Linked DNA regions of Nothobranchius furzeri. The protein of the gene in region 1 interacts with the protein of each later gene in a biochemical or structural test. Links are inferred from orthologs where the notes say so. Each region holds a gene or a part of one and is shown on either strand. Other genes may lie near its edges.

Region 1 (11,137 bases):
GTCATGTTTTATGTTGGATCAGCACAGTAAATTACTCGTCGTCTTCGTCGTCTTCCTCCGCTTATCCGGGTCCGGGTCGCGGGGGCAGCATCCCAACTAGGGAGCTCCAGATCGTCCTCTCACCGGCCAGCTCCTCTGGCAGGACCCCAAGGCGTTCCCGGACCAGATTGGAGATGTAACCTCTCCAACGTGTCCTAGGTCAAACCTGGGGCCTCCATGCGGCAGGACATGCTCGAAACACCTCCCCAGGGAGGCCTCCAGGAGGCATCCTAACCAGATGCCCAAACCACCTCAACTGACTCCTTTCGATCTGGAGGAGCAGCAGTTCTACTCCGAGTCCCTCCCGAATGTCCGAGCTCCTCATCCTATCTCTAAGGCTGAGCCCGGCCACCCTACGGAGAAAACCCATTTCGGTCGCTTATGTCGACAAAGGGCAGCCCTGGCGGAGTCCAACCGCGATCTCGTTCTTTCTGTCATTACCCAAAGCTCATGACCATAGGTGAGGCTTGGGACGTAGATCGACCGGTAAATCGAGAGCCTGCTTTCTGGCTCAGCTCCCTCTTCACCACGACAGATCGGCTCAGTGTCCGCATCACTGCAGACGCCGAACCAATCCGCCTGTCGATCTCCCGATCCCTCCTACCCTCACTAGTGAACAAGACCCAAAGATACCTAAACTCCTCCACTTGAGGTAGGACCTCTCTCCCGACCCGGAGTTGGCAAGCCACCCTTTTCCGGTCGAGAACCATGGTCTCAGGTTTGGAGGAGCTGATCCTCATCCCAGCCGCTTCACACTCGGCCGCGAACCTACCCAGCAAGAGCTGAAGATCAGAGCTGGATGAAGCTAGGAGGACCACATCATCCGCAAAAAAGCAGAGACGAGATTCTCCTGCCACCAAACTCGACACACTCCACACCACGGCTGTGCCTAGAAATTCTGTCCATAAAGATTTTGAACAGAACCGGTGACAAAGGGCAGCCCTGGTGGAGTCCAACCCTCACCGGGAACAGGTCCAACTTACTACCAGCTATGCGGACCAAACTCACGCTCCTCTGGTAAAGGGACTGAATGGCTCTTAACAGAAAGCCACCCACCCCATACTCCTGGAGCGTCCCCCACAGGGTGCCCCTGGGGACACGGTCATAAGCCTTCTCCAAATCCACAAAACACATGTGGATTGGTTGGGCAAACTCCCATGCCCACTCCATCACCCTTGCAAGGGTATAGAGCTGGTCCACAGTTCCACGGCCAGGATGAAAAACACCTTGCTCCTCCTCAATCTGAGATTCAACTATCGATCGGACCCTCCTCTCCAGTACCTTGGAGTAAACCTTTCCAGGGAGGCTGAGGAATGTGATCCCCCTATAGTTGGAACACACCCTCAGGTCACCCTTCTTAAAGATGGGGACCACCACCCCGGTCTGCTACTCCACAGGTACTGCCCCCGATGACCACGCAATGTTGCAGAGACGTGTCAACCACAACAGCCCTACAACATCCATAGCCTTGAGATACCCAGGACGAATCTCATCCACCCCCGGGGCTCCGCCGCTGTGTAGTTGTTTGACTACCTCAGCAACTTCTGCCCCCGAGATTGGACAGTCCATCCCCAGGTCTGCCGGCTCTGGTTCCTCCTCAGAATGCGCTTAGGTGGGATTGAGGAGCTCCTCAAAGTATTCCTTCCACTGTCCGACTATAGCCCCAGTTGACGTCAGCAGCTCGCCATCCCCACTGTAGACAGTGTGAGCGAGTTGCTGCCTCCCTCGCCTGAGGCGCCGGACAGTTTGCCAGAACCTCTTTGGAGCCGATCGATAGTCTTTCTCATTGGCCTCACCAAACTCCTCCCACGTACAAGATTTTGCCTCGGCAACTGCCACTGCTGCACCCCGCTTGGCTATCCGGTACCTGTCTGCTGCCTCCGGAGTCCCACAGACCAGCCACACCCTGTAGGGGTCCTTCTTCAGCCTGACGGCTCCCCGAACCTCTGGTGTCCACCAGCGGGTACGGGGGTTGCCACCACGACTGGCACCGGCCACCTTGCGACCACAGCTAGCAACAGCCGCCTCAACAATCGCAGAGTGGAACAAGGCCCACTCGGACTCAATGTCCCCCACTGCTCTCGGGACGCGGTCAAAGCTCTGCCGGAGGTGGGAGTTGAAGACCGTCTTAACAGGTTCTTCTGCCAGGCGTTCCCAGCAAACCCTCACTATGCGTTTGGGTCTGCCAGGTCTACACGGCATCTTCCCCTGCCATCTGATCCAACTCACCACCAGGTGGTGATCAGTTGACAGCTCCGTTCCTCTCTTCACTCGGGTGTCCAAAACATACGGCCGCAGGTCAGATGATACGACTACAAAGTCTATCATCGACCTGCGACCTAGGCTGCCCTGGTACCAAGTGTACCGATGGGCATCCTTTTGTTCGAACATGGTGTTCGTTATGGCCAAACTGCGGCTTGCACAGAAGTCCAATAACGAAACACCACTCGACACACAGTAAATTACTAATGCGTAAAATCAATGATCATGAATAATAAGAGCAACTAGCCAGTATTAAGTTTTAAACATTTAAAACGATGACTTTAGCTTAGAAAAGTAATTGTCATTAGGAATGTCCCGATACAACTTTTTCATTTCCGATACCACACCGATATCGCAGCCTTCGGTATTGAACGATACCGATACAAATCCGATAAGATATCAGCACAAATCATACATACTTTTACTTATTTCATAGTGTGTAATGTATAAAAGTCTTGATCAAGTGATATCACTCAAACAGAAAACAAAAGCCAGCAACAGTAAGTATAAAAAACTCACCAGTTTTTTAGTAACCTTTGGTTGAATAAATGTGAACGGCTGAGGTTAGGGACATAAGGAAAAAACACAATATTGTTCACTGACCAGCTGCTACAAGTTCAGTGTCTAAAGTTTCAATTTCACACACACATTTGTGATCCTGCTTCAAATGAGGTTGGACGTATTAATCTTCCCCGGTTTGAGTCTTTTTCAGACTTTAACAAAAACCACAGCCACACGGCCAACATTGTTCCTTGCTACTTTGCTAGCACACACTGTTTTGATCACGGGGACGTTGATGCTGGATCTGGGCGCTGATGGACAGAGTTGCTGGAATGGAATTTAAAGCAGAACATACTGCTAATATTGGAGAATTTTGATGCAGTTCGATATAATCCGATACAGTGTTTTGGGGCCGATATCAATATCTGGACATCCCTAATTGTCATGGATTTGCTCCACTTTCCACCAGAAACTCAGACTTTTGGTTTTTGTGCAATCCTGCTAACAGAGAATTTAACAAAAATCAGCAGTTAAAACCTTTGCCTCTGTTCATGCTAAAGAGAGAAAATGTTCCAGTGTCCTTGTCAGAAAACATCTGACTGGGGTGATGATCTTTACTCTTATTTATGCTTTTTTGGGGATTTTTACTTTAGTTCTCCTCCACAACAAGATCAACACAATAAAGTCTTAAATAAAACATTCTACTGATCTTGGAGGAGGTTAAAGATGGATAGGTGTGTGGTTGAATGACCACGGTTGACCTGTTTCCCCCGTCTGACCTTGTTCCTGTGATGTGACTGCAGAGACAGGATGGCTGAAAAAAACATGGATGATTCAAACTTTACCTCGCAGATTCAGCCTGTCACTATGGTGGAGAATAAAAAGGGACATTAAGGGACACTGTGGAGTCAAACATTGCTTCCTCTTCTCTCTAGGAGTACCATAGAAGAGTCCTACGCTCGGTCGATGACCAAACTTGCCAAATCAGCTGGAAACTTCTCTCAGCTTGGGTGAGTTCGAACCTTTTCAACCCTTTAGAAGAAAACAGCCCTAACAACGAGAGTATTAACATTTTCATGCCACCCTTGCTCTCAGGACATTTGCTCCAATGTGGGACATATTCAAGAGTTCAACAGAGAAGCTTGCTGGTTGTCACTTAGAGCTGGTGAGGAAACTACAAGAACTTATAAAAGAAGTACAGAAGTATGTGGAAGAGCAGGCCAAAGCACACAAGAAGGTAAGGACGTGCACATCTGTTTAAATACCTTTGTATTTAAAGGGACTCTAAGGAAGTTTGACAGCCAAAACATGTATAGAAATAATAAATGTCTTCTTCATGCATTCTCTTGCAATGCCCTGGTCCTGTAGAATGAGCCCTGGCATTTTTACTGTGATTGCCTGTTTTTCTGTAAAATGACAGAAAAAGAGAGATGCTCGGGTTGAGCAGGCTGCTTCATGCTCAGGCATCGCCCGTAGCATTTGCTATCCGTAGATTTAGCAGCAGAGAGAGAGGCAGTGGCAACTCAGCGACTTTGTCGCTGTTCCTAACGCCTAGTGATGAACCTAGCTACATTTATGAGGACCCTTAGCTACTTTCTGTAGAACTTTCTTCTAGATATTTACTGCAGATTAGCAACAAAATAGCCATTTTCGCTCCGAACCGTTCTTTGGTTTGACGTTGTTTCAGCTGTCATCAAGGATATAAATGTTACAGATACTGTGAATGTTACTAGAGTGTAGCTAACCTTGTAAGATGTCTGACTCTCATGCAGAAGTCCTGGGTTCGATTCTGGATGTGAACATAGTTTATTTAGAGTTTCTTTTTTACATTAATGGTATTTTTTTACAGTAAGATGCCCAAATTTTTATTTGAGACTCGCCAAACGGCATTGAATTCACAGATAGAAAAAGATGTGGGTTCAACTTTCATTTTGGAACAATTTTTCAAGCAAGGGAAGGGAATGATCTGAGCATGCAGGAGGACTGACCCATCTTAAACCTTTGTCGGCTGTGCTGAAGAGAAAGGTACAGAACCAAATAATGTAATTAATTAGCTGCACGTTCTCCTGTCCTCCGCCCCCCCCCCCACCCCCACCCACACACACACACACGACTGTCTCAGCTGTTTTTTTTTTCCGTTAAGGAGTGTGCACGTACAGCATGCGTGCCTCGTACACTAGCCTACTATTGAAGCTGCCGTTATGCTTTTGGCCTGAAGGGGCAGTCGCGAGCATAAAAATTCAAAAGTCCGTCAAGTCCCTTTAAGTTAAAGCAGGAAATCCAGTTCCAGACTAATTATTTTCTATGAGTAGGGTCTATACTAACATAAATCTGTCTTCAACATGCATCAGTAATGCATGCTTTTATTTTAGAGGTTGTGACCTTGTTTTTGCACTTTGTGGTTGACTTGGTAAACAGCTTTGTGTTGTTGAGTTTGTCGGAGCACAGCACACTCAGTACACCGTGTTTCTGGCTTTGCAATAAGACCGCTGCAGAGCCCTTTCCTGGCATTCTGTTAAAATGTAAACACAAAGTTTATGGGAATGAGTTTGACCTTTGATCACTGACCAACTGCACACTCGTAGGTGACGGCCTGTTCACAAACCTTGTTGTTATAACAAGAACTTCACATAGATCTTCTGTCTCTTTCACCACTGACATCAGCCGGTTCTGAAACATCATTGTAAATTAGATGCCACCAGCATGTGCATGCGGGTCAATTTAGTGTTCTGGTCACCAGTTTAGTCTCATTTTTTTACCTGATAACTTAAAGGTCTCATTCACTGTTTTTTAATAAATCTGCTGTGGTCTCTACTGTGAATGATGCCATGTTGGTCGTTTGGGGAAAATGCTCTGGTGCTCCTGTTTCAGGAGGTAGAAGTATGTCAGAGGAGTCGGGGGGCAGAGAACGGCCGGGTCTAATAATATTCATTAAAACCAAATGTCTAGTCTCTGATTGGCTAATAGCAACAAAAGTCAGTCGTTAACAAAAGTCAGAACACTGTAAAAATGCAACATTAATGTTTTATCTTCACAAATAAAGTCTGGACGTGTCAGAGTTGCTAATGCTAATGGTTAGCTTCTATTCGCCTAAACACACTCTGCTCTCTCCTGGCCACAAAAGGAATACAGCCTCCCAAGGTCACAGGCCAGGGTGGGCGTGCCCTTCCTAAATGAATACTAAAATTCCCTGTAACATAGAAGAAACTGGCTTTTTCTGACGGGATGGTTTTCCAGTCTATTTCCTTTCTGCAAGTGATGGGAGAGTTTCACGTTCAGCAAGAGTTTACAATTCAGAGTGACTTCTTCTTCCTCCCCCTTATTTTTCACTTAGAAGACTGTTGATGATTGCATTTTGCATGAATGATGAATGAAACTGCTGAGTGAGAAAATAAAATTAACAATTAACTGATTGTATTTCAAAAAGAACAAGAGCGTGAAAACCTGCCTGTTTCATTCAAATCAGCATGGTCCTAGTGATCCCTGCCAATGAGCAAGGCAGCAGGAGGTGGTTGTACTCTGAAACAGACTTTACATAGAAGCGTTAAATATGATTGTTTAGTTGTGCAGTCCAAATGTTTTTGTTTTTTCTTGTTTTGTGATATCAGTTAGAGCCGTGTGCAGAACTATCTTTAAATCCCGCTTCCACTGACGTTTCTGTCCATCATCTCTCCAGCACTACCCTCCACCTGCAGGCCCATTCATTAATACGATCAATTAGGCCCATATGCACAGCTTGTTTTGTTTCTGGTAAACACTCTTTTCCATATATGGGATTCTTCATCCTTTTCTGCAGTTTTATCCTCTAGTCTTAACCCTTTGATGCATAATGGTCACTACAGTGGACAAGTACTCAAAATTGTTATTTATTTGTTTTTGCTATTAAGCACAGCTGTTGAAGACTTTATTGCATTTGAGCCCCTCCATTTGGACTTCAGTAAGCCAAGCAAACAAATTTCATGTTCAGATTGCACGCTGTCCACTGAGGTGGACATGTAATAAATTATTTGTAAATTATAAAGTTTTACAAAAAATATTTGTTGAAATTTGTTTCATTCACACCTAAAGACGAATGAAAAAAATTGTTAAAAAAATCATGGTTGAAGATTTCATAATTCATGCATCAAAGGGTTAATTTGATAACCAGTCCCAATCATCCGACTGACCATCTCGGGACCTGCAATCTATTTTTAGCCGCCCGCTCCCTCAGCACCTGTTGAATCCAGTCCCAAGGCAGCGCTCTAGTATCAGTTTATATTTTTTGTCTGAAGCTAGAGAACACAAAGCCAATTAGAAGCTCAACCATGCTGCCAAGGTTGTGTTTGTGCTCGTTATTGTGACTGTTTCTCTCTGAAACGTCCGCTCTCTCTGCTTTATTTCTCCTTTTGTAACCTGCTGCTGTGTGCTTTGTGTTTAGACATTCAAAGTTGTAAAAAACATTCAAATAAATAAAACGAGAGATGTCTGCATCTTACCATAATGGTGTCGTAGCCAAGAGGCCTTGAAGGTAACTGTTCGCCGATGTTAAATGGCCTGTGTGGACCTCGCTCTGGTATCAGTGACTTTTACAAACAATTAACAAAGATGTTTCAGGACAAGTGTTGTCACACTTCGGGGGGTGGGGGGAGAGTTGCACTAATTGTTTGGTTATCTTTCAGACGAAAGAGGAAGTAGCACCAACCCTGGAAGCCGTCCAGAACATACAGTCCATCTCCCAGGCACTCCAGAAGTCTAAGGAGATCTACAATGCCAAAACGGTGGAGCAGGAGCGCCTCCGCAAAGAGGGGGCCACCCAGAGAGATGTGGACAAGGTGGGAGGTCACACGCTTATGCAAACACTTGAGCTCATAAGGCATGATTGAAGTGTGTCACACAGAAACTTTAAGCCTGCCCTGATTTTTCTGTTGATGCAGAAAGATGTGCAGCCTTTGAAAGTCATTTATCCGTTTGTTCACAGGCTGGAGTGAAAGCCAAAAAAGCCACGGAGACCTACAAGTCCTACGTGGAGAAATACGCCACAGCCAAGTCTGAGTTTGAACAGAAGATGGCAGAAACTGCGCAGGTATTAGACATCTTAGCTGGTGTTTTGTTCTCTCACAAGCTCTGCGTATTGTCTGCCCTTTGTAGCGCACAACACTTCATTGTGCAATCGTCCGCTGCACGCCTGTTCCATGTTTTGTGGCCTGCATCGTCTCCAGATTGTGTTTTTTCCTCCATAATGAGATCATTGTGGAAAATAAAGCACTGATTGGATCCATGTGAAGGGCTGATTAGATAAACTCTAAATTAAAATCAGATCGGAAGGATTTGGTCTCTACATCCTCCTGTAGCCGCAGCAGCTCCGTCACTGAAGCTGGTTCCAGTTAAAACCTGGAGATTCTTGCGGTGCAGCCCTGCTTCCCCTGGATCCCCGTGCACGGCTCATCTCCCACCACACATGTGGGCGTATATTATAAACACAGAACACATGTGCTGTCTGACATCACTGCAGCTCCTACATGTGTGTTTTCTTTGTCAGTGTGTGTGTGTTTTCTAACCGGTAGAAGGCAGAAGTATGTGGCTGATCTTCTCTAATCTCACGCTATGATTTTTCCACTTTACGTGTATTTAAAATTTTTCTTTTATCGTCCCAAAAGCCTTGTGCACTTCAGCTTACATCCAGAATATCAATACCAGCGTGATTTGGCCTCAGACCACCCAAACAGTCATGCATGAAGTCACAGTGTAATGAAGACGATGATCCCTTGGCTTCATTTAGCTTCTTATTTTTGTTTTCTTGTCAGTTTTATGAGACAGAAATCATGATTTGAATTTGTCAGCAGGCAGTTAATTTGGTTATGAGTGCCTGCTGTGTTGCTTCACCTCACTGAAACCACAAGTATCATAAATCTGTTACAGAAATTCCAAGACATAGAAGAAAACCACGTCCTCCAAATGAAAGAGATCATTCGGTCGTACTCGCAGTCGGTGGAGGAAACGCACATTCAGATAGGGGAGGTGAGTGCACGTGTCCTCTCAGACACACCTGCATGTAGAATCACTGAAAAACAGGAAGTGATATGTCCATCTCTTTTGCTTAGCTGCTAAAACTGATTAATACCTCTGAGTGAGTAATAAGCCCTTTTTATAAGACACACCATGACGGCAAATCAGCGTAATATTACCGCAATGGTATGTCTATAAAGCATCGACATATAAATATTGGACAATGGGTTTCCATAGGCTCCAATAACGTTTTTGAGGAGAAATGGGAGGTGGCCACCACCGCCATTTTGACCGTGTCACAGGTTCCGTCAAGCCCAGACAATTCCACAAAAGGGAAGAGAGGAGGAGCTGAGAGTGGGGTTGTAAGGCTGGGATCAACTGACGACACCCGGTTGAACTAGCTACAAGCTAACTTGAAGCTAACCCACAGCTAACGCGGAGGTGGGAGCCGTGGCAAATCCCGTTTTGCAAACGCTATGGTCCTGTAAAAACAGCTCTAGAGGCACATTCTGACCTCTTAACTATGGTCATAGTTTTTGAAAAAGTGTATTTAGGTTTGAGAAAACTGCATCTAGTTGTAAAATCTTAAAAGTAGCATTCAAATACTACACTAGTCATTATTCAGCTTGTGTGTATTCATCCATATGTAGCAGCAATGCTGCTCTATTTGTCTCACTACCTGCAGAGGGCGGCATTGTTTCATCAAAGGAAAAGGAAAACCCCGTCTAGCTTCCCTTTGGTAGCAAACTGTGAAAAATGTTGGGCATCAGTCGTGCTGCTCCTCCCTCTGAGCTGTAGATGCTGCATGTTGCTCGACCACATTCAACTCTGACTGAAGACGGGTGGTTAGTCTGCAGACCGGAGGGTCTTTATCTGTTGATGAAATAATCATTTAATGGCAGATAGGAAGTTGGGAGTGTCATCTCAAAGAGTAGGCTGCAGGATGCAGAGAGCAGCTGCTCAACTGTATTAATGGACTCCGTGGTGTGCACTGTTGCACACACACACACACATAGGCACACACACACACACACACACACACACACACACACACACACACACACACACACACACACACACATACCTAAAATCATTAGGATATACTTGTACTTAAAATAAAATATTCAAATGCTTTGTAAGTTGCTTTTACACACGTGCACTTTGAAATCTAAGTAAATATAATTAAAATGATTGCATTTATTGTTGTATTGTAAATGTTCTTACAGTTTTAGATTTTTGAGTAGTGTTTAAATTTTATTTTTCAAGACAGTTTTTATTTGAACCAATGAATTACTAACTAACTCTTATATCTTAACACTTGACCACCAATACCCACCCTCAGGCGGCCCTTTATGGGTCAGCATGCTGCTCACTGATTGGTTGCTGTTCTACAGTTGTCTCTTGGATCTCAAATTCAAAACTGAAGTACAGAAATTTACTTAAGATTTAACACTAGAGGAAATTAACCCTTCAGATTCTATGATCACAGGTTTTTGGTGGTTAAATGCAGTTTTGCTTAGTGGAAAGGGGGGGAATGATAATGTTTATGGTTATCTGACAGAACTTAACAACTTGGCATAATGAACTGAACACAGCTGTTTACTTCGTGAAGTGCCTTCTTAATCTGTGAATTATTTAAAGGGGCCCTAGAAAACAAAACCAAGTTGTTGTTGAACATAGACAGCTTGGTGTATCTAATGTAACAAACTCCGACCTGCTTTCCTTTGTCAGTAATGTTGTAACGGCCATGCAGAAACGGTCCGATCTGAGAACATCTGGTTTAACTCATCATAAGCATAGACACACCCACATCACCACCCACTTCTGTGTTGGCAAAATAGAAATGTTGGTTGTGGTAATGCTAACTGCAAATGATGCTAGTCTGAGCTACTGCTAGCATCCCCGTTGGACAAGAGGGAAACGACAAAGAAAAATGTCGGAGCACACATGAAACATTCTAAGATGCACTTGGAATATCCACATTTTGAATGAATGCCAGATAGGTCCGTAGCTGAATGTCAGAGTCATAGGGGTAAACTGACCAGTCAGCATGCAACTGTTTATGAATCTATCTAGCATTTAGCGGTGGGCGATATGGAAAAACTATCATACCACGATATTGTTTTTGCAAAATCACGATAACGATTTATTTCTATTTTGACAATTCAGACATTTTGAAAGTTATTTACCATTAAAATACATACATTTAAAATCAAACCCCTTCACATAAAATAGGATAAAAGATTCTTAAAATTCCATTATCTTTCTCTCTCAAATGTGCCACGAGTACTTTCATTTCATCATATACTTACAATTGATGTAAAATAATGAGAGGTGGCTCATATCCTAT
Region 2 (11,137 bases), about 440 kb from region 1:
CGCTGTTCTTGTCCGCACTAAAGCTAGCTGTTAGCTCATCAGTCCTTTTGATTTACCTCATTTCTCTGAACTGAGGCTGTTCAGAAAGCAACATGTAATGAATAAAATATTATTTTTAAATAATGTTCACACTGAAATACACCAAATAGGCTCAAACATTCATTTGAATCATGAATAGGCTGCATCTGCTCTGAATTGTTGACTCTTTGGCAGACGTGGATAATAACACGTCTCCCTCCTGGAAAGTGTTCCTCTCTTGGCTCAGAAAATAAAGGATTTTCTTTCTTTCTTTCTTTCTTTCTTTCTTTTTTTTGTTGCAAACGTGGTCACATAAGTCCTCATGTTTCTGAGCCTACATGTGCTTTTCTTCTTTTGAGATTTCACTTCAAATTAGTTTAAAGCTTTTTGACGTTTCTGCTAAGGTTTCTTTTTCTTCCAGACTGTAAAATGTAAGTACTGTGTTTGGAAACCGACTCCAGATGGTTCACCTGCTTGATGAGGTGATACTGAAGAAATGGAGCACACCTGTTCAGTCAGTCCTTAATGACTGCACCCTGCAGAGTTTGTGAACTCAATAATAAAATAATTGCAAATCCAAAATTTGGTGTACCTTTTGCTAAAATGATGCTTTTCAAGCCAACAATGAAATTGTAACCTTAAAGTGACCTGCACTGTGGCAGTGTCTAAATCTGGTCATTTCACTAGAATGTTTTTATTGTCTCATTAGAATGAAGAAAAAAAAACAGAAATTAATGCTTTAATGAGTTGTAAACATACAAAATGTTGTTATTTTTCATGACAGCATAGAAGCATCACACATGTGATGTCTAATTTACCCACATGTGCAGAGCCCCGCCCCCCTACCAGCTGAAATAGCAGTGAGTGAGTGAAGGGTTAAACCCAGAGCTCTCTGCAGCCTCCCTTCTTTCTGCCCTCGGTATTTAGCACTAAACCCTCTCTAGCTCCTGCTCGGGTTTGTGCTGCTCTTTTTTTTTCTTTTTCTTTTTCCAAGGCTGAAGTAGGTTAGACTGATTCAGCAGCAGGATCGTGGAGGCTTCACCGCAACAAACATCTTCAGCGTCCCATCTGGAGCTTTTTTAAACAGGTAGGCTGTTTCCCCCTGTTTTCTATCAGTGCTTTAAAACTTGGGAGCAGTCTCAACTCTGGAGGTAAATTAAAAGTTGCTTTTGGCATTTCAGTTGAACCAGCTTAACAAGTGTGGAAGTGAATTTCATGTTGGAAAAACAACAAATGCTTTATTTTTCTGATGCCTCTTTTGCCTCCAAAGCTCACTAAAGTTTTTGGACTTTGATGTTTTAAATCTTTTCTAAGTTTGTAAAGTGTTTTTTCTGCCCTTTGTGGTATTTCACCATCTCATTCACTGGCAGACTGACTCACTCTCCTTATTTCCTCCAGATGTGCAGCAGTTTACATTTCCTGAGGCCCAGGATTGTGACATTTCAGCCCTTGCACTGCTGTCTGTTCTGCTGACGAACATGAATTCAACAGTTTCTGGTGTGGTGACACTAATGGTTGCTGTTAAAAGCTCCAGTTTCTCCTCTTTCATTCTAATAAAAGCCATTGCCTTCTCTCCGAGGTGCTTGTTAAAGCGTAACCGTTTAACTCGGGTCTGCAGGGAAGTGCTGACATTAGTGGTTTTATTAGTGGCTCTGGGTGATGGACAGGAACAATCATGTGTCAGGCTTGTGCAATTTAACAAGTGCTAAAGTTTGTCTTTTTAGGGGCCTGACGACACAATCAGCATGCAGTGATTTTTACATCACAGATTATTCTACCAACACTGACTTCCAAACCTTTGAGGGACAGTTAAATTCAGGATTTTATTCAGGAGTTTCTAACTCCTTAAGTTAAAAATTGCTTGAATTTGAATAAAATGAAATGTTAAACGGGACTCTCCCTTTTCCAAACCTCTTAATTAAGCAGGTTTTAATAAACCATTTAGCCACCCACATGTCCCACTGGAGACTGTTTAGGCAATGGTTTTTATCCCCGCGCAAGAAAAGGACTTCCTTTTTGAAAATCTAATCTAAAAGCCAACGAGAGGAGTTGGGATTATTTTCTGTATGATCTGGTGTTAGTAGTGACCTTGTTGGTCACAAAGCTGAAATGAACTCTCTAACCTGCAAGTGCGCTGGAGTTCTAATTCTGTCACTCTGGTTTCCTCTGGATCCAACTTTTTAGCTTGATTGTGTTTTTTGCATCCTCTAGTATTAGAAATGTAGGATTTCCTTCTTTTACTGAAATGTTTATATCCTGAAACAGACCCAGTGAAACTCTTTTGCACTTGCCTAGCTGGGCATCACGAGATCTGTTTCCTCTGTTGGCGTAAGATTAACCTTTTAAGTGCTCAACCTTTGCCCATTTCCGGACTTTGGTCTTCACTGCAGTAGTCGGGCTTTTTTCTCTGGTTCTCTGAAGCAGTGTTACCTCTGGAGCTGCTTCTAAAGGTACGTCAAGCTGAGCAGGGTCTGTGTTGGTGGTTTTCCAGTGCTTGTGCAGGCCAGAAGAGCTTTATGGCTTTTTTTCTATTTTCCATTTAGCTGAATGAGTGATTGTTCACCTTTATAGTGGCTTTTTGACTAATTAAAGGTCTGAATAATGCTTTTTATTATAACTGCTCTCTAAGTACTTTTTTGTTTGCCTGTTTTGCTGCCAACTCCACTTTTTAGCTGATAAATGGAAGTATTCGGTCAAGGCCGTGAAGAGAGGCTGCTAGTCCTCTGATTCAGCTGAAAGTTTTATTACCTGATGAGTCACATGCGTTGGCTGGATGATTTACAGGATTTGTTTCTCCTTTCTGAGAAAGTCACAAAAATGTTTTAAAGCTCTGCAGGATTTTCAGATTGTAATAAGACTACCATTCAAATCAAAATTTCACATAAAAAAAGCTCAAATCCTGTTTAAAATTAAAGGCAGATTTAAGAGCATCTCATGAGTGAGATTTTTTTATTGATCGTGCATCTCATTCCTCTCCTTATCGGTGTTTCTGCAGTTGGTCTGGCAGTGAAGGAATTTAATTGTCCTTCAGCATGTTTACCTGGTGCCATAACTCCTGCCATAACTCCTATCTATATATTTTCTTTCACTGAAGCCATTCTGTCTTCTTCCCTTTTTGTGCTCCAGACAAGAGAAGCATGTGTGGGTGTTGAAGAATCATCAGATCGTCGCTCGACATCACTACCCAAGATCTCAAAGTTGCTGTCTGCATTACCTCAGATTGCCACTTGTCCAGTGAGGTTGACCCTCCCCTCCCTCCCAACACACACACACACACATACACACACACACACACACATCATGTCTGCAGCAGTGGAAAACAGCGTACCAGTCTCTGCTGATCCCAACACCCCACCTACAGCCCCAAGCACCAACACCCCACCCAGCTCCCCTGCGTCAGCTGCAACCAAGACTTCGCTCAAGAAAGAAAAGAAGAAAGGTGAGCGGTGCACAACACGATGAGCTGGAGGTTTCCTTAATTGGTCGATGAATGTTTGATTTTTAGGTTTGCTCTTGAGTCACTTCTGCAGGTTTGTGATTCTCCAAAGTAACATAAAAATATAAATTTGAGATGAAGTGGGAAAACTCAAATGCTATTAAGAGTCCTTTACTGTTTATCTGAAATATTTAAATTTCTTATGCTCAGAATTGAAGTTTTCCATCTATAGAGTAAAATAGTTTATCAGAACGTTTAACTACTGCAGCCTCAAACATTGCACTGTACACTGTAAAAATAAATAAATAAATAAATAAATAAAGCCACTGTTTATGTAAAGTTTCCGTACATAAATTTGCACGTTTTCTTTGTAAAAAAATAAATAAATGCACAATTCTACTGTAAAGCACTCTAGCGTAGTTTTTTTTAAATGGAAAAGTTCTTTAAAATCTATTTACATTTTATTCAAGAAAAATACAGCTATTGACTGGTATTGGTGTTTACTTCCTGTTTCCCAGTGTGTTTAGTGGCACAAATTTGTCAGAATTTCATTTAAATGCAGTTTTATTTATTTATTTTACAAACATTTGCACTGCTGGAAATATTTCGTAAAATTATTCTAAAGAGCATTTGCAGCAGAGCTACGTACATGTAGCAGTTCAGTATATTGGCAACACTTTTGGAAAAAATCTTTTATTAAATAAATGTGAAATGGTGATGTAGTTTTAAAAGGCATTTTTTTTGTATTCTGAATTGACAGTTTTATTTAAAAAAAAATACAGCAATTGACTCTGTCCCTGAATCCATTGTGACTAATCATTAGCTTGCCCACCTGTTGCATCTTTTAGTTTTTTCCCAAAAGGGGGAAAGCAGTCTGCAACTTTAAACATGTTTTCCTCTGAACTGCACCTAAGTGGCAGAGCTATTTCTTTAAATGTGAGGCCCACTGAGAACGTGGAATAGGCCCATTTCTTCTCTTGGAAATGTGATTGGTCACGCTAATCATGCTAACGTTCACATTTCAGTTCCACTTTATTTATATAGCGCCAAGTCTCAAGGCACTTCACATAGTAAACATTTCAATCCAGGTCAGTTCATTAAGCCAATCAGAAAAAAAGTTTCCTCTATAAGGAACCCAGCTAATCGCATCAAGTCACTTACTAGTGTCAGTGACTTTACAGCAATCCTCGTACTAAGCAAGCATGTGGTGACATGCTGAACATGTAAACAGTCTTCTACTCCTGTTGCCTGCATCAGCCACTGAAAGAAAATGGATGAGGAAAGGCTTGGGTCAGAAAAAGCCACACTGCTTGTTGTCTCAACTGGGGGTAGCCTGTTGGTTTAGCATCCAGGAGAGAGCAGAGCACATCTTTGCTAGTAACCATAACGCTAACCATTAGCATTAGCAGAACTTCTTTAGGTTTGTTGTGGTAGAAGATAAAACGTCAACATTGAAGAGCAAACAAAGTTAGTGCAAGAGTTGTTTTGCTGTTAGCCAATCAGAGGTGAGCTGTTCCAGTATTGTGAATAATAATGAGCAAGACTTCAAATCCAGCAGTTTCCTGCCAACCATCTCCTCTGGCTAACTTCTACTTCCTGAAACGGGAATGCTGGGGTATTTTTCCTGAGAGGAACTCGCAAGGCATTAATTCGTGCTAGAGACCACAACGACCGTATTAAATTAAAGTGTTTGCCCACTTTAAGAAAAATAACCTTTTCTGACAGTAAAGTACCCAATCTGCTTTGGTTTATTGCTAGTGTTTTTTGTGCACTTTCTTTGGCTGGAAGTGAATATTTGGGATTCTGTTTGTGTAACACATAGCTGTAAGAGTCTGAAATGCTTCAGGAGCTCTGGTAGTCCTCGTGGTAACACCGTTCTAGGTGGTAGAATTCATGGTCCAAACACAGCCAATGCATTTGACAATCACTTTCTAGTATATCTTTTTCTTTTCAATGTATTTTTGCATTTTGTGAGTTTGAAACTCCCATGTTGGAACTGTTGTAGCTATTCTGGTTAAATTCTTTTAATTGGGCAACATTTTACATGAAGCGCTTGCCCTTTAGAGTACGTGCTATGAAACGCTCTGCTACCAACATCAAATATAGATCTGTCTGTGGAATTCAGTCGTCATGTTTGTTTGCTTATGTTGCGTGGCTGTGGCACCCATCTTGATTTGGTTTTACTTGGTTATCCGGCTTTTAAAATCCATCTGGTTGATCGGGTGGGCAAAAACATCAATACCTGTCTTTTTTTGCTGCTTTGCAAACAATCTGTAAAATAACCTTCGGCTATTTCTTCAAATGGAAAATTAACACAGCAAATAGGATGCTTCGAAATAGTATCTGAAGAGCGCTGCAGCACATCTTTATCTTCAAACCCTCCTCTTGAAAACCCCAGGCTGCTTATTGGTCAGAATTTACAGAGTACAAAAAATCTGTTTGTTGTGGAAAATGTCAAAACAGGCCAGTTGGTGGGCAATTAACTAAATGTCTGTAATGAGGTGAGGAAATGGGAGGTTGGGGAGGAGGGAGAGGCTATTCCACAAAATGGAAGAGCAGTGCTTCCTGTTGGATTTGTAACTCTGCAAAATACTTAAACGCTCATAGCATGGATACGAACAATTCCAAAGAACTTCCCACAAGTTTTTTCTTAAAAGTTAAACACAACTTGTAGTAATTGCACCAGATACTCATGGAATGTGTACCAATCTTTAAACCTGTGAAATGGATGTTAAATAGTGACTCAAACATTTCTATTGTAGCGCCTGAGAAGACAGATGAGTACCTGCTGGGAAGGTTTCAAGGAGATGGAGTGAGGTACAAAGCAAAGCTGATCGGCATCGACGATGTCCGGGAGGCTCGCGGAGACAAAATGTGCCAGGACTCCATGATGAAGCTGAAGGTACATTAAAGCTATTTTGTACATCATGTACCTGTTGGCATAGACCTGCATGTTTTGCTGCAGTTGAGTAGCATTATTGTGATTTTCTTCCTGCAGGGTATGGCGGTAGCTGCTCGGTCTCAAGGCAAGCACAAACAGAGAATCTGGGTCATCATTTCCATGTCGGGTATTAAGATCATCGATGAGAAATCAGGAGTGCGTTTTGACATCACCAACTGCAAATTAAAGGTAATAAAGTGAAACTTCAGCGCCTTTTTAAAATATTCTCTGCCTTCAGGTAATTGAGCACGAGCATCCGGTCAGCAAAATCTCCTTTATTGCCAGAGATGTAACGGACAACAGGGCATTTGGATATGTGTGTGGAGCAGAAGGACAGCATCAGTTCTTTGCCATTAAAACTGCACAACAGGTACACACACACACACACACACACACACACACACACACACACACACACACACACACACGTAAAGCAAATACATAAACAAAGGTGAACAATGACCGCTTTTGTTCTAAACAGGCCGAGCCACTTGTCATTGATCTGAAAGATCTTTTCCAAGTCATCTTCAACATGAGGAAGAAAGAAGCAGAGTCCTCACAGACGGTGACAGTTTAAACCAATCACTTTCATCTTATGGTAGACTGGGACTTTATTTTCTCTTATGGAGGGAGGAGGGGTCACTTTGCATGTTCAAGTGGGAGGGCTGAGAGTCAACACTGCCTTATTGTGTTCTCTCAGTGACTCTCATCCTCCAGACATTCCTCTGGAATGTTTCACTAGTTGGTACAACTCAGGAAAACCTGCATAATCATTGACGGCGTAACTGTGTTTACAGGGTGAAAATGGCACTGCAGTAGTTGAGGTAAGCACTTTAAAGTTACTTGGGTGGAAAATCGACACAAAATACCATTCCATACCAATTTATAAAGCACAGATAAAAAACAGCATGGCAGCTAACCAAAGTGCTGTACAAAACACAACAGAAACGGCATAAAACTAAAGAATTGGCTAAAACGCATTAAAAGCAAAGCAGAAAAATACATGTCAAAGATGGCAGGCAGAGATCAAGTAAAAGTACTATGCAAAAAAAAAAGGTAAATTTGAAGCCAGCTAAAAGCGACACTAATAATGCGTGAAGGAAAGCATGCAAAAAAAACAAAAAAAAATCGGGCTTTGTGACATATCTGCACAAGTATGAACGTTGTACTTTCCAGACCTGGCTATGAGGGGAAAACTTGAGTTTATAGTAAAAATAAACAACGTGATTAATGCAGTTCTAGTGTATCCTGTTTGCATCTTGTAAGTCAAAGTTGGCATGTTTGAACTTTTATGCAAAAACGTTACAATTTAAATTAGCAACTTGTTTGAAGACTTGTATAAAATGAGGAAAAAAGTGTTTGAAACATTTTCAACATTTAAATTTCACCATCATTTGCTGCCATCTTTTTGCATCTTTACAGAATGTATTTTATGTTAATGGTAGCAAATGAAGTCCAATGTGACTTTCTTGTGAATGTAGAGAAAACAATTGTACCTGGAATAATGTGTGTGAAAGAACTGTTTCTGCTTTTATTAGAATGGGAAGGCCAATGATGGAAAACCTGCCCAGGTAGGGATGTAATAACTTGATACAAATGTGCCTTTTTAAAATAAAAAAGGTGATAACCGGTTTTGGATTATCCTTTCCTCCAGCCAGTGGAGCAGCATGACCTTTTTGGAGACATCACGACTCCTCCAGACATCCAGGTTCCAAATGTAAGTCGAGCATTCCACGGTCTTATCTATGACAAATGTTAGAGTTGTACTTCTATTAGATTTCCAAATCCCTACTTTCTCATTGCATATTTTCTAAAACATTTTCAACATCAGTAAACTTTTGCAGGCTAATGGCTTCACCCCCCCGAATGTTTCTTTTAAAACCAGATTTTCTTTTGTAACAATTGATCCAACCTAATGAACGCAATGCTTTTAAGGTGATTCTGTGCAATACGTGAACTCGATTCTTAAAGCGCTGTTTAAGTCAGCAGAAATGTAAAGATATTTTTAAGAATTGAGTTGTTGCCTCATGTTAATCTAATCTTGAAGCTGCTACAAGTAGAATTTAGTGGCTCTCTGAATAGAGCCCATTTAATCTACCTTTTTAAAAAGGTCAGAACTGGAAGATGAGGTCTGAATATTTTGTTTATTCTTCTGGTTGCAGCTTCAAAAAGCCACATCCTCCTCATGTGATTCGTTGTTCATTCTGTTAACTCCTGTTTGTCTTTCTGCAGAACTGATTTACAAATGTTTGTTTGTTTGTTTTTTCTTTTGTCTGACTGTCCCTCTCATGTGAACCAGGATTCTAACGAAGTTCTATTGTTGGACTTCTCTGTGGAAGTTGACAGCAATCAAAATTGCATAAAGGATAGCTTCTTTCTCTCTTCCTGTGACCCAGACTATAAGGCAGCCCTCCATAAAGACATTTCCTTTTCATCCACTTTCGGCTACTTCCCAGCTCCAGATGGCGACCCCTTCAGAGACGATCCCCTTTCTAAATCCCCCACTAGTTTTGTACCTGATGACTCCCTCACCACTAATGACCTACCTAACAGCACTGCTGACGGCACAAACAAACCAGTTTTTAATCATTTGAATAGAGACTCTGAAAATCTTCAACAGAAAAACGAGTTGTCCAGTAAATCCATGATCCTTGCTCTCAGTAATGGACAGTGGCCACTTGGGGGCAGCATAACTCAGGGCACCTCAATAACAATGATGGATGGGAGTGAAAGTCAGCAAGCACTCGCAACCAAAAACCCATTCCTCGACTCCTCTATGAAAACCTCCTCCATCCTAAACAGCATACTGACCTATCCAGAACCAGCAGCGACCCATAGCAACGACTCGGTTGTCATAAGCCCGCCTCCTCAGAACTCGAAATGTGGACGAAGTCGAAGGAGTGCAAAGGTGAAATGACACGGCAGTACAGTAGTGCATGACGAGGGGGGGTTGGTTTTAAACGTTTCCTTTCCCACGGGGTTGTTCAGAGAACCAGGGTATGGTGGTGAATGTTCTGGGTGTAGATGCCATCCAAGGCTTTTCTTTTCTGCCGTCCTATAGGAGTTGGATCTGTTCTCTTATACTGGGGTTCTTCTCTTGTTTGACTTTATTGTATCTTGGCTACTCTTCTCATTTCCACTCATGCTTTTCCTAACACTCATGCTTCAGGGGTAAACGCACTTGGTAAGTGGCAAGGCATGCGGGTAAATGGGGATTTTTTTCCACGCATGCTCAGTTGTGGTTAAAAGTTGCCATTTTAGGATATTTCAGTGTACATTAATGTGAAAAATGACTTCTTTTCTGTGATCAGTCTGCATCAAGTGAGCTGTTTGGAGCCGAGCTCTTCACTGCTCCTACTGAGCAGGCTTCCACTCCAGGCGACCTATTCAACAACATGCCTACAAACCCCACTCCCTCCTCTATAGCTGCTCTGGGTAAAACACACAAAAATCTGTCATTTTATACAAATGACTTTGGTTCATTCTCTTACTGAAAATTTCCCCCTCAACACATTTAGGGAACCTTCAGTTGGGCCCACTTGCTGCCCTGAACGTCCCTGCTGCAGGCATGTGGGGTGCCCCTGCTGCTTCACCCGCCATGTTCCCCATGCCAGGAGTGACTGCTCTGGTTGGCACAACCCCCGGCTTTCCACAACCCCCTGCCTTTGGCGCTCACATGCAAGCACCAGCCTGGGGGCAACAGGTGATGCCACCGTTTTCTCCACCACCACATTCTCCACCCCAGCTCCAATGGGGTCAGCCTGTTCCACCCAATCCTTTCCAGCCTGGCCCATTTGTAGTAATGGGAGACCAGCATGGCCCATCCCGCCCCCCTCCTAGGCCACCTGCTAAAGAAGTCACTCCACGAGTAGAGAACAGCGCCTTTACAGCTTTGGATCCCCTCGGAGGTAAAGGGGTAAAAACCGGAAAGGACATGTTCAAGGACTTTCAGATCGCCAAACCCCCTGCTATCCCAGCTAGGAAGGGAGAGGTTGCTCCTTGCTCTGCTCCTCCACACAGCAACAAGGAGTCAGGAGCGTTTGATCAGTACTTCTCCAATAAAGTGGGCCTGGCTCAGGATGCAGCAGACCACGACGACTTCGATATCAATCAGATGTCGGCACCTGGTAAACTAGCTCAGACTGTCGATCAAAATATGAAAGTAAATGTTGCATCAACGCTCGGGGTAGTCGACTCCCTTTCCTAATTTCTGGTATTTGACATGTTCAGTTTCGCTGCTTCATCACAAGGTGATTATCAGGCTTGTGCAGAACTCCATAAGCCACTGAACAGCTGAATCAACTGTGCTGGAGCAGGGAAATGACTAAAACATGCTGGATACCAGCCCTAAGAGATTTGACTACCCCTGATTAATGCCAGGAAATCTGTAACAATTTCTCATGTCTTTAAGACGCTCCAAAGCCATTTTCGACATTGACTCCTGCTCCAGTTGCTGCCCCAGCTCCATGTTTTGCCCCTGACCTTGATGCTGCCTTCTCTTCTGCTCCAAACTCCAAGAGTTCAGCCCCGTCACAGGGACAGGACATGTTTGACCAAGCATTTGGGGCCCCAGAGACAAACCCGTTTGGTGCACCACCTGTAGCTATGGTAACAATGTATTCATGGACTCATTTTGTTGTGATTCTTTATGGAAAAAGATTTTATTTATTTTTTAACTTTTTGTGTGTTACAGCAGAGTAATTCTGCAGGCCAGACCTCAGGCTCAACAGATGCTTTTGGGG

The links.
Region 2: the proteins of fcho2 (region 1) and dab2 form a complex in vitro, tested with the Homo sapiens proteins (2 studies listed by BioGRID). The link is inferred for Nothobranchius furzeri from reciprocal best matches to the Homo sapiens genes FCHO2 and DAB2.

Annotation. Positions count from the first base shown.
Region 1 is NC_091746.1:66,676,448-66,687,584, reverse strand, and holds part of fcho2 (F-BAR domain only protein 2), read left to right. Parts: intron 1-3,737; coding exon 3,738-3,812; intron 3,813-3,897; coding exon 3,898-4,039; intron 4,040-7,460; coding exon 7,461-7,613; intron 7,614-7,759; coding exon 7,760-7,864; intron 7,865-8,700; coding exon 8,701-8,799; intron 8,800-11,137. UniProt on the Homo sapiens protein: Functions in an early step of clathrin-mediated endocytosis. Has both a membrane binding/bending activity and the ability to recruit proteins essential to the formation of functional clathrin-coated pits.
Region 2 is NC_091746.1:66,239,043-66,250,179, reverse strand, and holds the start of dab2 (disabled homolog 2), read left to right. Parts: upstream 1-964; 5' UTR 965-1,105; intron 1,106-3,144; 5' UTR 3,145-3,318; coding exon 3,319-3,457; intron 3,458-6,216; coding exon 6,217-6,356; intron 6,357-6,452; coding exon 6,453-6,551; intron 6,552-6,633; coding exon 6,634-6,765; intron 6,766-6,876; coding exon 6,877-6,960; intron 6,961-7,192; coding exon 7,193-7,219; intron 7,220-7,933; coding exon 7,934-7,966; intron 7,967-8,049; coding exon 8,050-8,112; intron 8,113-8,694; coding exon 8,695-9,303; intron 9,304-9,706; coding exon 9,707-9,830; intron 9,831-9,913; coding exon 9,914-10,522; intron 10,523-10,806; coding exon 10,807-11,003; intron 11,004-11,088; coding exon 11,089-11,137. UniProt on the Homo sapiens protein: Adapter protein that functions as a clathrin-associated sorting protein (CLASP) required for clathrin-mediated endocytosis of selected cargo proteins.